3 linked regions of the Drosophila melanogaster genome follow. The gene in region 1 interacts genetically with each later gene. Each region holds a gene or a part of one and is shown on either strand. Other genes may lie near its edges. The genes, in order: cas, drl and hb.

Region 1 (6,360 bases):
TTATTTTTAGTTTACCTTTATTTGTACATTTCACGCAGGGTTTCACTTTGCAATGTAAACTAAAAGCAAATACCTAATGTATAAAATGATGATACTTGCTTGTACATTGTTCTTGACTAGGATACAACTTTCTGAAATCTCTTTTGTTATGCTTATGATTATGGTATTTGGATTGTATTGATTGTTTACATATACATATATGCGATTATGAACTATAAAAAATACAAAAATACAAGCAAAGGAAAAAATAATTGATTTTGTGTAAAGTACTTAAATATTGCTTAGCGGGACGGTTTTTATCAGGCGTCCTGAGTTTGTGTAGCTGATTTCTGTTAGCATATGAGTAAAACCAACAATTACATGAAAACAAAATAAAGTCATAAATTATTTAATCAAATGTTTAAGTGTTTTATGTGTGGTTGGGTATACATATATGTTAGTTACTTTATATATTGTATTTTCCAGTAACCCCCAATAACTCAAGCATTTTGTGTTTAAATAATAAGCTCTGAGGCATAATAAAATTTATTCAGGTAATGTTGACTTATTTATTATAGAAGAATGCTGATTTTACTAAAGTTTATAATTAGAATTATAATATTATTCCCTTAAATTATAAAGCAAAAACAATTAGCCATTATTTATTAGTATATCACATACAATGTAATGCTTAGACGCTATGTTATTGACAATCCAAGTCTCCTAAGTCCTGCATATCCTGCATAGCCTGCACTCGCTCTATCAATTAAAAGAGGCTACTCTAATGAAAACATCACAGTTTAGTCAAACTTAAATTCAGAAAGTTCTTCCTTTTTATTTAAAATGGCTGAAAATTTTAAAAATTAATGTGGCACTGAGAGAATCTAAGCTAAAGGGGAAAATGTTTGGCAAAAGCCAATTCAGCTACACTTTGTATAGGGGACTTCTAGGTTCTCAAAGTGTGGCTGAGTTGGTTTTTGTGGAGGGAAGGATGCCTTGTCCTGGATCTGCCTGAACCCACAAAAAAACCCACCTAAACCTGCTTAAAGCGCGTATGTACAATGTCCAACGTCCGTCGGTCAAACTAAGTAGCTGGCAAAATACCCTAAGGACACGCATCCTTCCTACTCCTTAAACTCTGGCTTAAAGCTAAACTCTGCCTTCGGCTGCTGGACTCCGGCTCCATTTGCCGCCGCTGCCGCCGCCGCTGCTGCCGATGCGGCGCTAAGTGCTGCCAGGTTGCCGAGCATGGAGGAATTCTGGGTCATTCCCGGATAGAGGTTCTGGTAGAAGAGGGGATTCTGCAACTGGAAGAGGGCCATCAGGTGGGTGAGCTGGAAGTTAGGGGCTGTGGGATCCACTCCAGGAGCGGCGGCAGCGGGCAGGAGACCGGGAAAGAGTCCACTTGTCAGCGGATGCACAGCGGCTGCTGGCTGGGACTGGGGCAGGAGCATGGCGGGATTAGAGGACTCGTCTTCGACTTTCAGGCGCTTGGCTTCCGACTGCTGAGCGTCGGCTGGCAGTTGCTGTGGTGGATTGAGAAAATATGCCTATTTAATGTCGCGGAAAATTACCCAAAATATACAGACAAACTTACGATTTTCTTGGGTGGCCTGCCGCGTTTCCGAGCCAGGAAGTGCTCGGCGGACAAAGAGGAGAGTGGAGTGGAGGTGTTGCTGCCGCCGCATACAGAGCTGCTGCTCTGGGATTGACTAAGGCTGGTGGGCTGCTGCTGCTGCTGCTGCTGCTGCTGCTGGGGCATGGCATCCAGGGAGGACTCCTCCACGTCCTGCTTGATCTTAAACTGCTGGTACGCCTGCTCTCCGTCCTGACGATCGTGCTTTCTCTTGTGGCTGATCATCTGGCTGCTGGAGTGCAGGATGTAGTCGCAGCCCTCGCGGACGCAGTGGATGTGGTTGCAGACGGTGGAGAACTTGCAGGCGTCGAAGGGACATACCTCGGTCTTCAGGATCTTCTTGAAGCCGTCCATCTTCAGCTGGTGGTCCTTCAGATGGTAAGTTTTGTGCTTGTCTAAGCAAGGAGAAATACATATATGATATATTAACTAAGTTCAGCTAATAAGCTTTCCAAGTAGACTTACCCATATCGGCCTTGTTCTTGAAGGTGTGGGTGCATCCCTCGCGACAGCAGTGGTAGTGGGAGATCTTCTTGCCGAAAAAGGGGCAATCCTCGATGCGGCAGGTCTCGTGCGCCCGGAAGCGCCGGAAGCCCTCGTTCACGATCTCGGAGTCCTTGCGGTGGAAATTGGCATGCATCTGGACGTCACTGGTGCTCACATACACCTTGGGACAGTGCTCGTAGACGCAGTGGTAGTGGGTCTGTTTCCAGTTGTAGGCGCAACCCTCTCCGTAGGCTGGTGCACAGTCGTCCGAGGAGGAGAAGCGGGCAAAGCCCAGCTTGAGGCTTTCCTTGCGCTTCTTGTGCCACTTCAGGTGCCGGATGATGTCGTCCTTCTTGCTCAGGATCTTGCCCTGGCAGGGCTCCTCGTGGCAATGGAAGTGCTCCCGCAGGTTCTCCTGCCTGCACAGGCTGTTCTCGCACTCCAGGTAGGAGGACACTTTCCGCAGGTTCTTCAGTACCTCCTCGTTCTGGAGCAGAGCATCCAGGCCGCTGGCCGCCGAGAGGCTCACCAGGCTCTTGCTCTGCTCACTCGACGGCGGCGTCAGCAGGGATATTGTTTGGGTCGGTTGGAGGGGTGTGTTGGGGGTCAGATCACTGTCGACGGGTGTGATGAGTCCGTACGATGAGTCCGCCGGCTGCTTGACGGGCGTATACTGCAGTGGGAAAAAGAGGGTGGAAGAACTTTAGAGTCAATACCAACACACGGATGCATCTGTGAGATCCCCAGCTCAGACTGCCTGGTGCCCAGCTGGGCAGCGATCGAGCCACCAAGAGAACCCACGCGTTGCCGACACAGCTGTTTCTTTTCCCCGGAATCGCGAGCTTTCTGGCTACTCTCACACTTAAATCTCAAAAATCACGAATCGTTTTTTCTCAAATTACAGCAACAGAGCGTGGGACATAGCCAAAAAAAAAAAAAAACAAAGCAAAATAGGGAACAAATATAGTGCTTTCTGAATTGGAAATTGGAAAATGGTCTATTTTGCAACTGGAAAAGGTTTGTGAAGTATGGCGAACCAAGCTGTTGGGATGAATTTAGAATTTAAATCAAATGTACTAATACAAAAATGCGCAATATATAGCTTTTTGACTACGTAGTTGCCACTGCAAGTGACAGTATCTTTAAAATTGATGGTGATAAAACGAGATAAAAGAAACTGTTAAGATCCTTCTAGATCCCCGGATCACTTACCATGCTGGGTGAGTCTAGGCTGTCGGTGGTTGACTCCAGCGGATGGACGCCCGACAACAGCAGCTTCTCGGAGCTGGCGTTGGTGTGGCCCGAGGAGCTGCAGCTGGTGAGGCTGGACAGCGGCTTATCATCGTCCTCATCGTCGTCGGCGGACTCCTGCTCAAACTTGACCTGGGCCGCCGAAAGGTTGCCGGCAGTTGCTCCGGCGGAGGGTGCTGGTGTGGCTGCCTTCTCTCTCTCGATGGGCGTGGAGGTCACTGTGGATGATTGAAGGAAGTTATTTGTGGCCATCTGTTCGGAGCCGGCAAACTGGCCCAGCAACAACGGATGCTGCAGTGGATCCTGCTTGCCCAGCGAACTGGGGGTGTGGGTGGGTGTTAGTAGAAGGTTGGAGGTGGTCAGCAAATGTTGCTGCTGCTGCTGCTGCAACATGAGCTGCGTCAGCGGCGGCAGGCTTTGGAGCAGCATCTGGTTGACCAGGTTGCTGGGGTGGCTGTTGGGAGTGGAAGGAGTTGCCGCTGTAGCGCCTGGGTATTGTTGTGGTTGAAAAGCAATCAAATTACTATTGGGACTACAACTACGGCTACTACTACAGTTGGTGTTTTGCGAGCTAATGCGCTTGTGCGTTCTTGTCTTGCGGAGATCTGGCTGTGGCTGCTGCAGTTGCTCCTGCTGCTGCTGCTGTTGCTGCTGCACGGATGTGCTGCTAGAGATATCCTCGTTCTGTGTGTAAGTGTATCCAGCCAGCTGCTGCTGCTGTTGCTGCTGCGGAAGCTGGAGCTGCATTTGCTGCTGCTGCTTCATCAAGTTCATCATGTAGAGTTGCATAATAAACTCCATTTGGTTGGACATTTTTGTGGCACACTTTCGCGGATATATTCAGCACAGCACTGGGATTTCTTTTTGAAAATTCTTTAAGATTTCTTCACTATATTCAGCACAGATCACAGCACGGATTTCGAATTTCGGATTTTGGATCGACTTTCTTGCACGGCGTCTCGTCTCAGCGATCCTCAAAGTTCGGCTGCGAGGCTCAAACTGCTTCAACTCTTCCGCGGCCTCCGGCTAATATAGCAAAAATTGCGCAAATCCATGCCCAAGTGCAACCCTCTCGCCACCGGTTCTCTTAAAAAACCGATCTCGCCGCTCTCGCTCTCTTAAAAAACGAATAAAATGAGAAGTCCGTTGGTGGTGGTGGTTCGACCTTCATCCCCTAGTTTTTTAACCGACCCTTCGCAGGAAAATGCTCTGGGAAAACCCAGCTTGTTTTCGGCTGGTTTCCGTTTTTTTGCTCGCTTTTCTCGACCAATAAAACGCCAGCGGTAATGTAAATTTATCTAGAAAAGAGAGGTTTTTCGGTAAAAAAAAATGCGAAAGAGGAGCGTGTATTTGTGAAGGAATCCCGCATGGCCAACGTGCGTTAGAAAGGGACAGCAAATGAAAGAAGAGCACAGATCAGCAGAGGAATTTTATCCAAAATCGCAGGCAATTTGCAAAGATATTACGGCAAATTACGGCAAAGTTACGTGCAGAAAGTGGGTAAATAAGTTATCTGGGCACAAGAAACTGTATAGTTAATTATTTTAAATTTTTTGTTATTATCTCTATATATTTTCTATTCTATCAAAAAATACATATTCTAAGATGAATATTTTAAATATTTCGACGTCTACAGTATTTTTTTCATAAGCGATTTCAAAAAAGATTTTCAAAAATACTTTCTCACACTAAATATTGGCATCGGCAATCTTATTCGCCTATTACCATAAATATAATCAAATCTTAGAACGTTTAAAGTATAGAATCGCATCTTTGTTCCCTTTTCCTTCACATCTCTATGCAAATTGTGTGCACAAAAATTTCGGCAAAACTGGGAATCGAAATGATTTTTAAGAAATTGGCGCGTTGCAAAAAGGATATCAAGCTGGAGCAGCTGCCTGTCCTTTTTGAAATAATCGAATCGAAATCCATTCAAATGCAAAAAATAAAAACCCAAATTTGCAAATTAAAATTACAATCGAGCAAAAAATCTGCATTACAATCGTGCAAAAAAACACAATTAAAAATGCCAAATATTTCCTAAGACCCATTGCAAAAAAAAATTACCATATAAAAAAACGTTTGCAGAAATTCTGAACTTGAGCAAACCCCTAAAAAACATTTTCGATTTGAAGCTGGCGACATCTACGTGTAACATCCGCTGCGCAGGATCACCAAATCCTTTGCGGATCGTAATTTGCATAAATTATTGGTGTAAAACATTTGCATAATTTTGGCACATCGTCCCGAGGCGGAGCGGGCGATCGGGTAGGAAGTTCGACATCCGGATCACCAGCTCCTCCAGCCAGTGTTATGCAAATGGACCTGCACTACATCGGGGAGGAGGGTTTGCTCCGCATTACGGATTCGGGTGCGCCGATCGACTGCGCACGCGCGCTATCTGGAAACTTATGCAAATCAGGAAGGGAATCCCCGAATATCGACGAATCGATTGCCGGAGGACGAGGGGCGGAGTACGATTGATTTTGGATTTGCATTTTACTCGGCAATGGGCAAGGTGAGAGAGCAGAGCAGAGTACAGGCTGCAGGATCAGGCCTGGATATGGTTTGTCACTTGGTTGGCGAATTGGGATTGAAGTGGGATTGGGATTTACCAATTGTTGCCATAATTGAGTGACATGGATAACGCAGCCAGAGCAGAGAGGCAAATAAAGCGGGTTGGGAGCTATTGATTACAGAAAAGGTTCCATGCCACATTGTAAAATGGCAACGGAGTACGGAAATCTGCATGAAAATGCGAACAAAAGCCCATACATTTAGGTTCATTCACAGTCTTACTTCGCGTTTATGCTTTTGCATTTGGATCTGGAATTTACATATGACAATTTCATATTCAGTTACAAATGTTTCGAAATAGAAAACTTTTGTTAGTCGCCTTTGTTAAGTGTTGTTGCTGGCCAGCTCAGTTGATTGGAGTTATCGCAGGACGAGTTCAGAGGATCGGATCCTGATTCCATGAAGCGGCAAATATTGTAACTATGGCATTA
Region 2 (5,099 bases), on another chromosome or scaffold:
TTAGAGAGTTGGGATGGGGTTGAGATTAGCAAGTGTTGATAGACAGACCCGAAACGTGACTGGCAACATCCATGGGTTACATGGATTAGGGAGGGATCTGCTCAGACAGCTGGCAGGGCTACAAAGTTGGGCAAAGTTAAAAGCCCCATTGAGCCAAGTGTGTGGCGGGGGAAAAGTTTTCCGAATGTTATAGGATGTTATAGGTTCTGGCTATATGAATTTAATTGCTTTCCTTGCCATTAACAGTGGGGTGCCACAAAGCCTGGGAGATCAGTGTCCTAAGATGGAATAATGGTAGTTCCCTTTAGATAACGTGTTACCCTTGACTATCCACACCCAACGCCGACAACTTTGGTCACTCATTGCAACCGCAAAATCCATCAACTGCACCGACTTTACATATCCGCTCATTTCGCTAACGAGCTGGGCCACAGAGCCACCGAACCAAGAAGACCCTCGCCACCGCCGCCCGGCTTGATCCACACCTGACATGGTTTGCATAGCATAGAGCACAGCAATTTGGGGCGCACTTCTGGATGGAGAAGTGGGTGGGCCATGGGATGGAACATGTGTGCTATGGGTATGTGTTCGGGTATGGATGTTAGCCTAACGAACAGTGAATGCCATGCCGCAGCTGCATGCAAGTGCATGGAGCTCTTCTTTGGGCGATTCTCCTTCACTCTGCTCCTGGGTTGACAATTTAATTGATGTGCACTCACACAAAGGCTTTTGAAGCGACCGCTAAAAAAATAAAGTGAAATAAAATAAAATAGAGTGACACCTAGCCAGGCGTTGCGAACACACACACAGTGAAGTCTCGGAAAGTAGGTCAGGCATGCAACCCGCTGTCAGCGCTGAATAATTGGAGAGGGTATCGCCACCCAATCCCGAAAGCCCAAAACCAAAAACCAAAAACCCTCTGGGGAAAGTGCAATTGGAGGAGTCGGGAATCGGGCGAAAAATGAATAGCGGCCACCGCTTAATGGGTTTTAATGCTGATTTCGTTTGACACTCGGCTGACACAACTAATAAATTTTCCGCTGCCATGTCAAGTGGAAAGCCTCAACTGGCCATCCATCCCATAGCAAACCATCCCACCCACTTGCCGTATCGCCTTTGATTGATTGTCTGCTGGCGCTTTCAACTGATTGCGAGGTGTGTAGTGGAGCAGCCAGGACTCGGGGGCCAGAACTGCAATCAAACATGAATTACGACGAGTGGCAGACGCTGATAAGCGGCTAGATAAGCGCCTGATTAGCAGCCCGGCACTGCAGTTCAAATATTTACCCAGTTATTCACAAGTGACGCGATGCAATCTGCGTACCTACATACTCCGCACTCCGCACTCCGAAACTCCTGACGCCCATCAATCAGCCGGAGGCACAAACACGCGAGTGTTGTAAATTTTACAACATAATTTTTGATAATTTTTCCCTATCAGCTATACAGCTCCCTGCGCCCCCGATCCACAGAACACACTGCCTACAAAACAAACACTTTGCATGTGTTTTATGATGCCACATGGATGTGGCACAACTTGGGCCGCTTCACCCTTTCCTTTTGGCCCATGGATTGAGGCTACTGATTTATTTTTTATATTCACTGGGTTGTAAATTCTTTGTCTGGGCCCTGTGACACATTGTAAAACAATTTTCCCCACTTTTATTAGCTTGGCAATCTCTTCGACAGGATTTGTGTGTGTTTCTTTCTGGCGGGGAATGGCTTGGGTCCAAGAAGACGAGGTTGGGGATGGGGATCGGGGCGAGGTATAAATATAAAAGTAGATTAAAGGTACTTGGGCTGCGGACTCGAGCTATCCCAAGCCGATTTGCTTGGCCAAGTGGAAACCTGGTTATTAGATGGAGATAAACAAATCTGTTTTGATAAGGGCTAAGAATCAGTCACTCGGATTTTTAAGCTTATTAGAGTAGTATTCTTCTATGGAAAATAGTTAGGCTAAATAAATAATATAAACTAAACTAAACTAAATATTTAAATACTCATTTTGGTGTCATTTTTTGACTACATGATTTTACTATTTATTTTCTTTTGAAGACGTTTATAAAATATATCTAAAATTGTTTTGTATTGTTTTAAATTGGATAAACTATGAAAAAATATGATTTTTTAAATAAAAACTTTGATTATAGAGGGATTACTTATCTAGAGATGAATCCACTTGCCAATCGAATTTAATTTAACGCAAAGAAATACAAATTTAAATCGCTTTAGCATTTCTATTTATCTAGATAAGTCTAACGAACAATTAAATCAAAGAAACAGGAAATCATGCTAGACAAATAGAATGTTTTCTTGTTTCTCGGTGAGCTGGCCAATTGAAGGAGGGACAATACTACTTTATATGTAGCTCCGAGGCTAGAAACAATTAAAAGGCATATATTATTTACGCAAAAAGAGTAAATAATCCCAGCAAGTCGCATTCGTTTGCCCAGGAGACAAAATCCCGGCTTGGCATAAATCAAATTTGATTTAAAGTCGAACGAACGCACACAAAGTGGCAAATAATTGCCCAGTTAATTGAAAAGCCAAAAGGCAGGCGAAAATCAACACGATTACTTACCGATTAGGCGCAGCACCTCGTGCAAGTTGAGGAAAATATTGAGATGGGCCTGACCGCTGGCGATCAGGGTCAAAAGTAATCCGATTGTTAGCAAGTTGGGGGCCATCTTTCGGATTCGATTAATCCGCCGGTTGTTTAGTCGCAATAAGAGGAAGAGATAGTTTTAACTGCAGTTCGGCTACTCTGCCGATTTTCTATTTCCCGTTTGGCACTCGCTAAAACGATTTAATTTCCGCTGCACTGCTGTTCACTTTTTGCGCTGCATTTGCAATTTTACGAGCGTCGCGTTGATTTCAATCGCGCTGATTATTACAGGAATTATTTGTCAGAGCATTTGGCACTTTGCCTTCTGGCCGGGAAAACTCAGGCGCACATATTTCCCAATCAGTCTCTGTCTCTGCACCCGTTTTTCCTCGCTTTTCTCGCCGTTCGTCCGCGTTCGTTTTCCGCGTTTGATCCGCTCACCGTGACGATTTTCCACAAACTGTCAACTGGATAAACAAACACTTCGCCACGAAGCGAATGGCTTCCACGCCGAGCGGAGTGGAGTGTGGACTGTGGACTGTGTGTGGCGCTCGTGGACTTGTTCTGTAGAACTTGAAGGCTGGAACCCGTATAACAGTCGTGTTGGAACCTCGAACTCGGTTGCAGTTCGAACATCTCATCGAACATCTCCAATTGGCTAAATACCAAAACTGGCATACTGTTCGATATCCTTTATTAAATTAACTAAACAAACATTCATATAAAGTTTAAAAAATAGACCCACAAACTTCCCAAATGAATTCGAATTAATGATGTAATATAATGATTTTAACCTTTTAACTTTTTTTTATTGTGTTTGATTCAATTTCGAATTAAACTCATGTTGCCAAAAATAAACATTACGACATTTTATACTTTATAAATCGTTAGTTTATTACAGAAAGAGAGACAGAAGCTTGCAGAAGCATAAAATAAATAAGTACAGAATATATAAATACGTACATGATTTTAGGTACATCAATTAACAACATAAATAATTTATAATTACAGACTTGGAATGTGTATCAGTCGTTACACAAATAATAGGAACAGAAAATTAATACTAAAAGCACACAGAAGAACCCTAACAAAAATCAAAGCTGCACGAGAAGAATCTTAACTAATACATTTGACAAATCAAATCTTTGGAATATTTGCAAACTGGCCTTGGCTAAGTACTTGATAATTTGACACAATACTTCATTAGTTACTCTTAACATTAAATTCAAGCCTCCAGTTTCAGCTGATCGATGGAGCTTAGAGTAGTTTCAATAAGCAGATTGTAGTCCAATTCGTTTAGACTGGCCTTCGCAGTCAGCAGGTCCAGAAAGGAGTCCAGTGGCGAAAGGGCTTCGGCAGTTAGATCTGCAAGAATACCAACCAAATTGGTCATTAGAGAGGTGGCTATGGTTAAGTTAGATAACAAGAAACAAAATGTGCAAATGGGACAACGACTGGCGAACACTGAACAGCGTTTCTTACCGGTCAGCGATGGGAATGTTTTCTACCAGATGAGAGGGCGCTGCCTGAACGCATAGCTCGATATGCTCAGGACGACCGTGGTTAGAATGAAAAGCAGAAAAACCAAAAGCAGCGAGTGACAAACAACAGTGTTGGGCTTGCCCAAAGCTGGACGAGATGTGTTCGGGTGAAGAGTGTACAAATGAAAAGTTAACGTGTTTATGGCGGGCTAACCAAGCAAGATCTTACCGCTCCGCGCATTATTTCGCGATTGATTCACGCAGGCCGTGGGTCGCTGCTGGTGCAACACCTCCTGCTGCTGACCCGACAGAATGTTGGCCGCATGCTCGCGTCCGCGGATCATAAGGCTGTCCGGATGCTGCCAGCATTTGAGTAACCTTTGAGCACGCTGCTTGGGCAGAGCAGACAAAAGTGATAGCTTCCGCTCAATGCCCAGTGGAGAATCTTCAATATCTGAAGGAATACATTAAGCAATAATGAAATGAACAGTATATGAAAACAAGTATATATATTTGTTACAAACCGAAAACAATGGCCTTCATCACATCCACTTGCAGTTCGAACACATGATTTTCCACATACTGCAGAAACATATCATAGCCCAGCGCACGATAGCCCAAGTAGGTGAAGAACGAGGAGAAACCCTCGGGCAGGGGAAACGCAATCGATTCCACAGCCAGGCAATAGCGCTCGAGGATTAGAAACAGAGAGTGCTGTTGATTGGCAGCCATTTGGTCACTGCAATCATTACAGACGTGAGTGAAAAGTGATCACATTTGAAATCATCACCAACTCACATCAACTGAAAACCCCTCGAGGTCTCCATGCGCGCATCTAGGCCTGCAGCACGACAAACCAGAGAGCAAAGAGCCCGCGAGAGTTCAAGCTGCGCGGAAACGAACTGGGAGGCCACCGCATGCACATGAGCTGGAGCCTGGGAGCGCTCGAAAAAGGTCTCCTTCAGCCAGCGGAAGCCAGTGTTGGGCTTTGACGTGTGCTTCACCAGGTGAAC
Region 3 (7,775 bases), 3.0 Mb from region 1:
ATATACAATTCTGGACAACGATTATATGATAATAGTGATAAATAATAATAACAAGGTGATGGTGATGGGGAACTTAGGAGTGAGCATTCCTGGCCATGTGAACGAAGAGGCCGACGGGTCCGTCGCACTTCTCGCCGCACATGTTGCACTTGAACACATCGTCGCAGCTGTGGTAGCCCATGTGAATGGTGTAGAGCACGGCGTCCTTGAAGAAGATATCACAGTACTTGCACTCGTAGATGGCACCCGCCGCCGCCGGAGTTCCGGATGGAGGAGCTGCAACCGCTGAGGTGGTTCCATTGCTGCTGGAATTGCTGCTGCTGTTGCCGTTGCTATTGCTGCTGGCATTGGAGCTGTTCCCCGAGCTGGACGCCGTCGAACTGGCACTGGTATTGGCCTGCGGCACATGGGCCGTCTCCATCGACTCATCTGCCGAACTGGTGCCCGAGCAGTGCTCCTCGGGCATGGGTTTGCGTCCGGCAATGGGCGAGGATGCAGTTGGCATGGGTGTGCTGGGTACTTTCAGTTGCTCGGGAGATGTCATGGCCTCCGATCGCAGTTGTAACAGGGTGTCCAGCTTGAGGACGCGTCCCTTGCGTCTCGAGGCATTCGAGCTGCTCATCAGAGGCGTGGCCTCCTCCTCCACCTTGAGATTCATGGCCAGCGGCTGCTGCGGTTGTTGCTGCTGCTCATCCTCCTTCACTGGCGTTCCTTGGGACAGATCCATGGCAGAGTCCACTGACTTACGCTCGTACTCATCGTCCTGCTCCTCCTCCTCATTGTCGCTCTGCTGCTGGTTCTGTTGCTGCAGTTGCTCTCGCATTCTTGGCGACAATTGGGCCAAGACAGCGGCCTGTTGTTGGGCGGCCAGCATCTGGAGATTGAGGTTCCAGTAGGGGAAGAAGGCCATGTTGCGGTTCTGCTGCAGAAGGCTGGCCAGAGGAGGCAGAAGATTGGCTGGACTGGGCAAGCTGGGCGTCTGTTCCACACTGGCCACACTCTTGGCAGGAGAGGCGGGCAGCGGGAGCACTGGAGATGCCGCCGGAGGAGCGGAGTTGCCTTGAACCAGAGGGAATCCTTGCAGGGCGGCACTCAGCTGAGATGTGGCGACTGGCTGAGCTGGCTGAGATTGCTGTTGCTGCGGAGCGACAGCTGCAACATTTGACTTCCGGCTGCCGCTGCCACTTCCTCCACTGGCAATCGGTCCACCATTCTTGCTCTTCGGACCACGACGCGTGCCGTAAACATCGATGACCAACGAGGGATTCGGGGTGCCATCCTCGTCCAAAACCATGCCGGGCTTGTGACCATACTTGCGCAGATGCAGCTTGAAGCTGTGGCAATACTTGGTGGCGTAATCACAATCCGCACAACGGTACTGATACACAGAACTGTGCGACTTGCGGTGCGAGTTTAGCATGGATTTGTTGACACACGTGTAGCTGCATTTGTCGCACTGGAAGGGCTTTTGGTTCTTGTGCTTCCGGATATGGTACTCCAAGTGGTGCTTGAACTCGGTGACGAACGGGCACTTCGGGCACTGCAGGATCTTGTCTGGTTTCATGTGGGTGCGGGTGTGCGCCCAGAAGTCCACCTTGGTGATGGCCACCACGCCGCAGGTCTTGCACTTGTAGTTCTTCATCTTGCCGTGCGAATTGTAGATGGGCATCCGGATGTTGGTATCATCGTCCTCGGACTCGGCCATGTACTTCATGTCCTCGCTGGAGTTCGACATCTGATCGTGCTCCTTCTCCGGCTCAATATTCGACTGACTCGACTTGGCCGGCGACTTAGGCGGTGTGACATCCATGGGTGGTGTTAGTGCCTGCAACTTCTCGCTGCTGCCAGTGGCAACTGCAACGGGCGCAATTGTGGAGGCAGATGTGGGCGTGGGCTGCGGACTGGGTCGCAGATTGCCGCCATAGAAGTGCTGCATGGGATTGGGCAGACCAGGTGGCGTCAGCGGATTGAATCCACCCATCAGATGGTGATGGTGATGATGTTGCTGCTGGGCTGCCTGGAAATGCTGCTGGTACTGCTGTTGCTGCAGCAACTGTTGCTGCAAGTTAGCATCGTAATGCTGCAGGCTGTTTTGATCGTTTTGGCTGGGTGATGGGGTCATGGCGCACAGGGTATCCATGGGTTGCTGCTGAAGCTGCTGCTGCTGCTGCTTGAGGAACTGTTCCAGGTGATTGGTCGAGGGAATGGGCGATTGGCGCGGACTGCTGGCCACGCTATTCCCGTCGAGATGATGACCTGGCTCCTGTTTGATATTTGCCGCGAACATGCTGTTGTACCAGGCGTTGTGCTGCTCGTAGTTGGTCGTGGCTGTCGTCTCCCAGTTCTGCATCTTGGCGGCTCTAGACGGCTGTAATGGATAAGAAAACAGAGAGAGTGGGGTTAGTGGGCATATTCATTTATTCATTCATGCACTGCGCCTGCGTCGAGTTTTTTCCTCTTTTTTTCCGCTTGTTTTTCATTTTATTTTTCCTCGCTTTTATTTTTTTTTTCTCTTTTTTTGGTGTGCTTGCGGCACCACCCCTAACAAAAAATACGTCAGGGGTGGCTGGGCGGCACCCACCCCCTGAAGGCGATTTGAGTGATTTTGTGTTCAAAATGGAGACACTTGGTAATGGCTAACAATATCCTACCGTTTCGTGGCCGCTCAGTGCGTATGATTGCGATTGTATCGAAGTATATTCCAAATTTGTCGGGATTTTCGTAAGGATTTGCAAGTATATTATTGGTGCTGCTTCTGTTGTGTTGTCGCAGTGGTAACAAACTCGTGACTGACTGAACAATTGCAACAGGCATTAGTTTATATATCGCTCAGGTAGACGGATGCACGCGTCAAGGGATTAGATGGGCAGAGGTGACGGGAAGTCAGGTACAGGTCGCGGATCGGTCGGGAATCGAGGATCACGGATCGCGGATTGAGGATTGCGCTCTTGATCCATTCTGGATTAGAGCAGAAACAAAAAATTATGCGCACTTGGATTTGGATGATCCGGGAGCTTAGCGGATGGCCAGCTTAGCAGCGAGCTGCGAATTTTCCACCGGTTTTCTATGGGGATTACGTTGGTCAGGAGTCGACAGCAGGAGTAGGCAGCTAGCGTGGGCAGTTTCGTAGTTAATAATAAAAAGTAAAAAGGATTGCGGGACTTAACTAAATTAACGGATCAGAACTGCTTACACCTGCGGGAAAACTCTAAGGACCAACTAAACTATATGCATAATATGTGCAGTATAATTATTACACACCCATTTGAAAAACATTTTCCTGACAACAATTTTCCGCCAGACATTTCACTTTGATTTGCGTAGTTTTTCTAATAATTCTCGCATTAAAATTGCTTGTTGCCTATATTTTTTCCATTTCCAATTTCACACTGAAAAATTGTGCAGTTGCTGCATTTTTGGCTAATTGTTTGTGCTTTCAAGTAAATATTATTAAAAACGCAAAACGGGAAAAAGGGGCATTTACGGAATATTATTATGGGAGGATGGTGCTGTGCTATCTGGCAGCTAAAATATCTACAATACTTAGGCATAATTGATGGTTCAGGAAACAGAAAGTGCACCACACAAAATGAAGCTTAGCATATTTATTTAAATTCGCTTTTGTGGATATTTTTAAAGAAAGCCAAAATTAATTGCTCGGCAAGTGTGTTAGTGTGTGTGCGCACTATGAAACAAAGAGAATTTTCGCCTTTCGTCTGGGCTTTTTTGTGCCATGCCCAACAACAGCAACAAAGCCAAACTAAAGGCCAAGTGTAAAATTAATATTACGCCGGGCAGGGGCATGGGCCAAGGGGGCAGGGGTGGGGGCATGGGGACCATGCAGTGGGGGTTAGTGGCGTGGTGTGGCCACAACGAGTGCAGCCAGGCAACCGAAACTGCAAAAGTAAACTAAACATGTGCTAGTCGTTTTTGGTGCCTCCCCCCCCACCCCAACACCGCCCCCTTTTTAACCCTCTAAAAATATCATGAAAATGGCAAAAATGGAAAAATTCGAAAACGCAGAAAATGCGCCACACAAAAAATGTTTTTGTTGAAAAATCCGTACAAAAAGCAAGCCAAGAGCAGGATATGCCTGCTTGTTTGCAGGCGTATATAAAATATATGTATGTATGCGTATACATATGTGTAGTTGCAACCGTTATGTTGTTGGCTTAGAACAACTTGTTGTTTTTTGGAGCTGCATTCGTTTAGGGAAAACTGCACTGCTGCTGCTGACTGAAGTGATTCAATGTCATTTGCGGTTTATAAATATATCCCGTATAATATGTGCATATTTATTTTTATGCGCCTAACAAAGCCCCATTTGTTTGAAATGCGCTCAGTTCTTTTTGTCGGCAAACATTAAAACTGTCGGATGACAATCAATTCTGCAAAAGATCGTGCAATAATGATTCCCATCATCATCCTAAACAAAAAAAAAAAACAAAGCCTGCGAGCGTCACATAGGTGTATTCATTATATTTGAAATGCATTTTGGCAAGTGCCGAACTATTTGCCATTAAAAAATTGCCACGTTGACTTTGAATTATAGTTCGATGTCTAAATTTAAATTATTAAAAAAGAAAAGTCGAAAATGCATTTGCCGAAAGAAGAGCGAAAAGAAATGCTAAAAATTGAAGGGGTTATTTGGGGGGCAGGAAGGCGAAAAAAAAACAACATGAAAGTCGACATGTAAACAAATAAAATTAGCTGTCAGGCGTAGAGGGGGGCGTGGCCAGGGGCGTTGCTTAGGAGGAGCAAATGAGGAGGGGGGGGGGTCGGTTGGGGGTTGGATATACGCTGCAGTTCTAGGCAAAAACAGACAGAGCGGGCAAAAAACAAGTTCACCCGAAGATCGGCCAAAAGCCAGACAGATTTTAAAATATTGTTTTAGAATTTTTGCCATTTGCATTTTTAGCAATGATTTACCACTCTGTGTGGTTGTGTGTGTGCATGTGTGTGAGATCTCTTGTTTGTGTTCCTAAGGTTAGACAGAAAAAGAAGCACTCGATTACAAACAACAAGAAGAGAACAAGAAAATGTGCAGAACTAGAAGAAAGTTGAGTACTTGGGATTAAAGGTGATTATGACATAGAATAAGCAAATTGGTTATCAGTCATCAGATTAGCATGAATTAATAAAGTAAAATACATTAAGCATAGTGCATAATAGCATATAAACGAACTATTTAAATCTGTTTCTTTTGAAAGTATATCACATGATGAATTATAATTAAACAACTATATATCGAATATATTCTATAAAAAAAAACAGATTTCGTATCAATTGAGAACTAAATTAAAATTTACAGGGCGTATGTAAATCCTCACAAAAACTGTGTATATTCTGGATACCCCAACATTTTGGCATTTGCTCCCGCAAAAGCGATTTGTAATTCTTGTTTATTTGTTTATCCGCGGAAAGCTTTTGCGAATTTCTACCTCCATGTGTTTTTTACGATTTATTGGAGGTCGAATGCAGTGTATAACTAGGATATTGGATGGTACGCCCAGTTACTTACCTTGCGGACAGTCCAAGTGCAATTCTGCGGGAGAATTTGGAAACGGGAACCGGGAGCAGGAGCAGGAGCACGTAAGTTTTCGCTTTTCGCTCGCGGACTCTCTCTTTCCCACTCTCTCGCTTGACCGCGGCACGGTTACCGTTAGACCAACACGCACAGTGCGTGCGAGGGGGAGCGGCGATGTGGGGGCTCCTTGCTCTTCGTTTTTGTCTATTTTTTGGGCCTCGCTTTTTAGCTTGCTTTTGTGCTTTCTTTTTCGCGGAATTCGCGCATGTGCGGGATGTGGTCTTTGCCAAAAAATAAGTTTTCGGGACAAAAGTCTTTTTGCAATTGGTTATCTTTTAGCACAAGCACGAAGTTTAATTGTATTTAATGGCAATATTTGTTTTGATAGCAGTTACGTTTCGTCCTTTGGATGTTTGGTTATTTTTGTATTTCAGTGGCTGCCTGTCAATGCTGGCGACTTTCGTTTTCGGGACTCGGAGCACAACTGACCAAACTCACGCTCAGCGGGCTCTTCTAATAGCTGAAAATCTCCTCACTGCTCCTCACAACAGTGCACTCGCCAAAAAAGAACTCAAATCTAAAATCTCAATTGCAAAGCAAAAACAAATGCCAGAAGTGCAACAACACAAAGGCGCACGAGAGCCGTTACACGGAGAAGCAGAAATCGAAATGAGAGAGCAGCCGGAGAGCATCAACAACGTAACGACGAAACTCACTCAAAACGGATACGGATGCTAGCTGTAAATCTGAGTGACTTTCCCCATCCCCAAAAGCAATAACTAAACAGCATCCCCTTCGTGGCGTTCGCTCTTTCACTCACTCACCCACTCTCTCGCTCTGACTCGCTCATTTTATCCTTTTGCATTTTCTGGCGCTGCATTTTGGCCGAATGCAGCTGCCTTTTTGGCTCTTTGCCGTTTTTTGGCATCTCCGCTTCACTATTGATTATTGATTTCTGGCCCAAAAGTGAGAGAGCGGAAATGGAGGAAGATGGGGGGCCTTCGCCAATTGTTTTTTGGGCAACTTTAAGCCCAGACACATTAACAACTTAGCCAACTGCAATTGGGACGATGGAAGTTTGGGCCGAGGAGATTCCTTGTTGCTTTAACACATTTTCCTGTTGCTGTGCGTGTTAACTTAATTTGGGCAAAGCTTTGCCACAATTAGCATTCGAAATTCCAAATCTCCTTAAGGTAGTTTGTGCATATTGGGTGTATTCCACCTTTTTAAGCTAATTTCGGAAAATGTATCATTGTTAGCTTGACAAGGATTATGGTTAGCAATAAATGCATATCATTAATAGTATCATTCGGTTTAGACCAATTTTTTTCCCAAGCGGAATGTTCGCTTTTAGAATGATAAATTAGGAGCGATTGTTCTAACTAGGTTTAATGACAAATTTTGGACTAAAAAAAAAAACTATTATTATTATTCATTATTCATAGTTCATTGGTAAAAACCTTTTTTTCTCTATACAATACAAAAGGATAACTTATTATTTGTATGGATCAGAGTTTTTCTAAAGAAAACATACATGCAAATTCATAATTAAGTTCGGAATTAATGTGCCTCCAGCTATTTTATTCAATCTCCTGTTTATGTGGAATATTTGGGCTAAAATCTCCTGTTTATGTCGAATATTTTGGCTAAAACTAAAGTGGAACGGGGAGAAATTAGGGCGTTGGCAGAGGGGGTGGGGAAAATGTAAAAGCAATATTTACAAAACAACAGAGCAAACAAATCGCCGCCGGAATGCAAATTATACAAGTTGCTCTCACATATCCAGAGGAATATATGTGTCAAAAGGACGTCTCGGGAACAGGTAGTACCGGAGGTAGACCTGCCATTGACGTTGACATGGCAAACCGGATTACGAATACGAACTGCAACCGGACTTAGCGAAGAAAGGATTAAAGGACGCAAAGCTACCTGATCGGCCCGCCCAGTTCATTAATCCGCGCATCCGAAGAAGTGCGACTGGAACTAGAGTGATGTGGATTTAAAAGCGATTTAAAAGTTGGCCGTACTTCTGCACAGGACATAATCCAACATTACGCAGTACGCAGGATCACGCAGGATCAGCGCCGCTGATCCGGAGGATCCAGTTAGTCCCGAGCGATTAGCGTTCGCTGATCAGCCCGATTAGCGTTGCTTAGGCGGGCGGGTGCTGTGTGGATCCTACCCAGTTACGTTTGGAAAGTTATGTAAAGTTGAAGTTAAGGACATAACAAATAGTCCCAAGGACCGT

Evidence for each region.
Region 2: of cas (region 1) and drl, changing one enhances a phenotype caused by changing the other (phenotypic enhancement), as found in Drosophila melanogaster (one study listed by BioGRID).
Region 3: of cas (region 1) and hb, changing one suppresses a phenotype caused by changing the other (phenotypic suppression), as found in Drosophila melanogaster (one study listed by BioGRID).

Annotation. Positions count from the first base shown.
Region 1 is NT_033777.3:5,712,448-5,718,807, forward strand, and holds cas (castor), read right to left. Parts: upstream 4,359-6,360; 5' UTR 4,166-4,358; coding exon 3,314-4,165; intron 2,775-3,313; coding exon 2,081-2,774; intron 2,011-2,080; coding exon 1,577-2,010; intron 1,506-1,576; coding exon 1,104-1,505; 3' UTR 528-1,103; downstream 1-527. UniProt on the Drosophila melanogaster protein: Transcription factor that specifies expression of key genes in developing central nervous system (CNS). Essential for many, if not all, late developing neuroblastoma (NB) sublineages.
Region 2 is NT_033779.5:19,188,317-19,193,415, reverse strand, and holds the start of drl (derailed), read right to left. Parts: upstream 3,075-5,099; 5' UTR 2,688-3,074; coding exon 2,582-2,687; intron 1-2,581. Other genes in the region: pigeon, read right to left, coding at 3,831-3,970, 4,316-4,540, 4,611-4,825, 4,885-5,099. UniProt on the Drosophila melanogaster protein: Probable coreceptor of Wnt proteins. Involved in neuronal pathway recognition and ventral muscle attachment site selection. Non-vital for development. May be part of a signal transduction cascade involved in learning and possibly memory.
Region 3 is NT_033777.3:8,691,805-8,699,579, forward strand, and holds the start of hb (hunchback), read right to left. Parts: upstream 6,019-7,775; 5' UTR 5,522-6,018; intron 2,797-5,521; exon of another isoform or gene 2,652-2,796; intron 2,369-2,651; 5' UTR 2,351-2,368; coding exon 74-2,350; 3' UTR 1-73. UniProt on the Drosophila melanogaster protein: Gap class segmentation protein that controls development of head structures.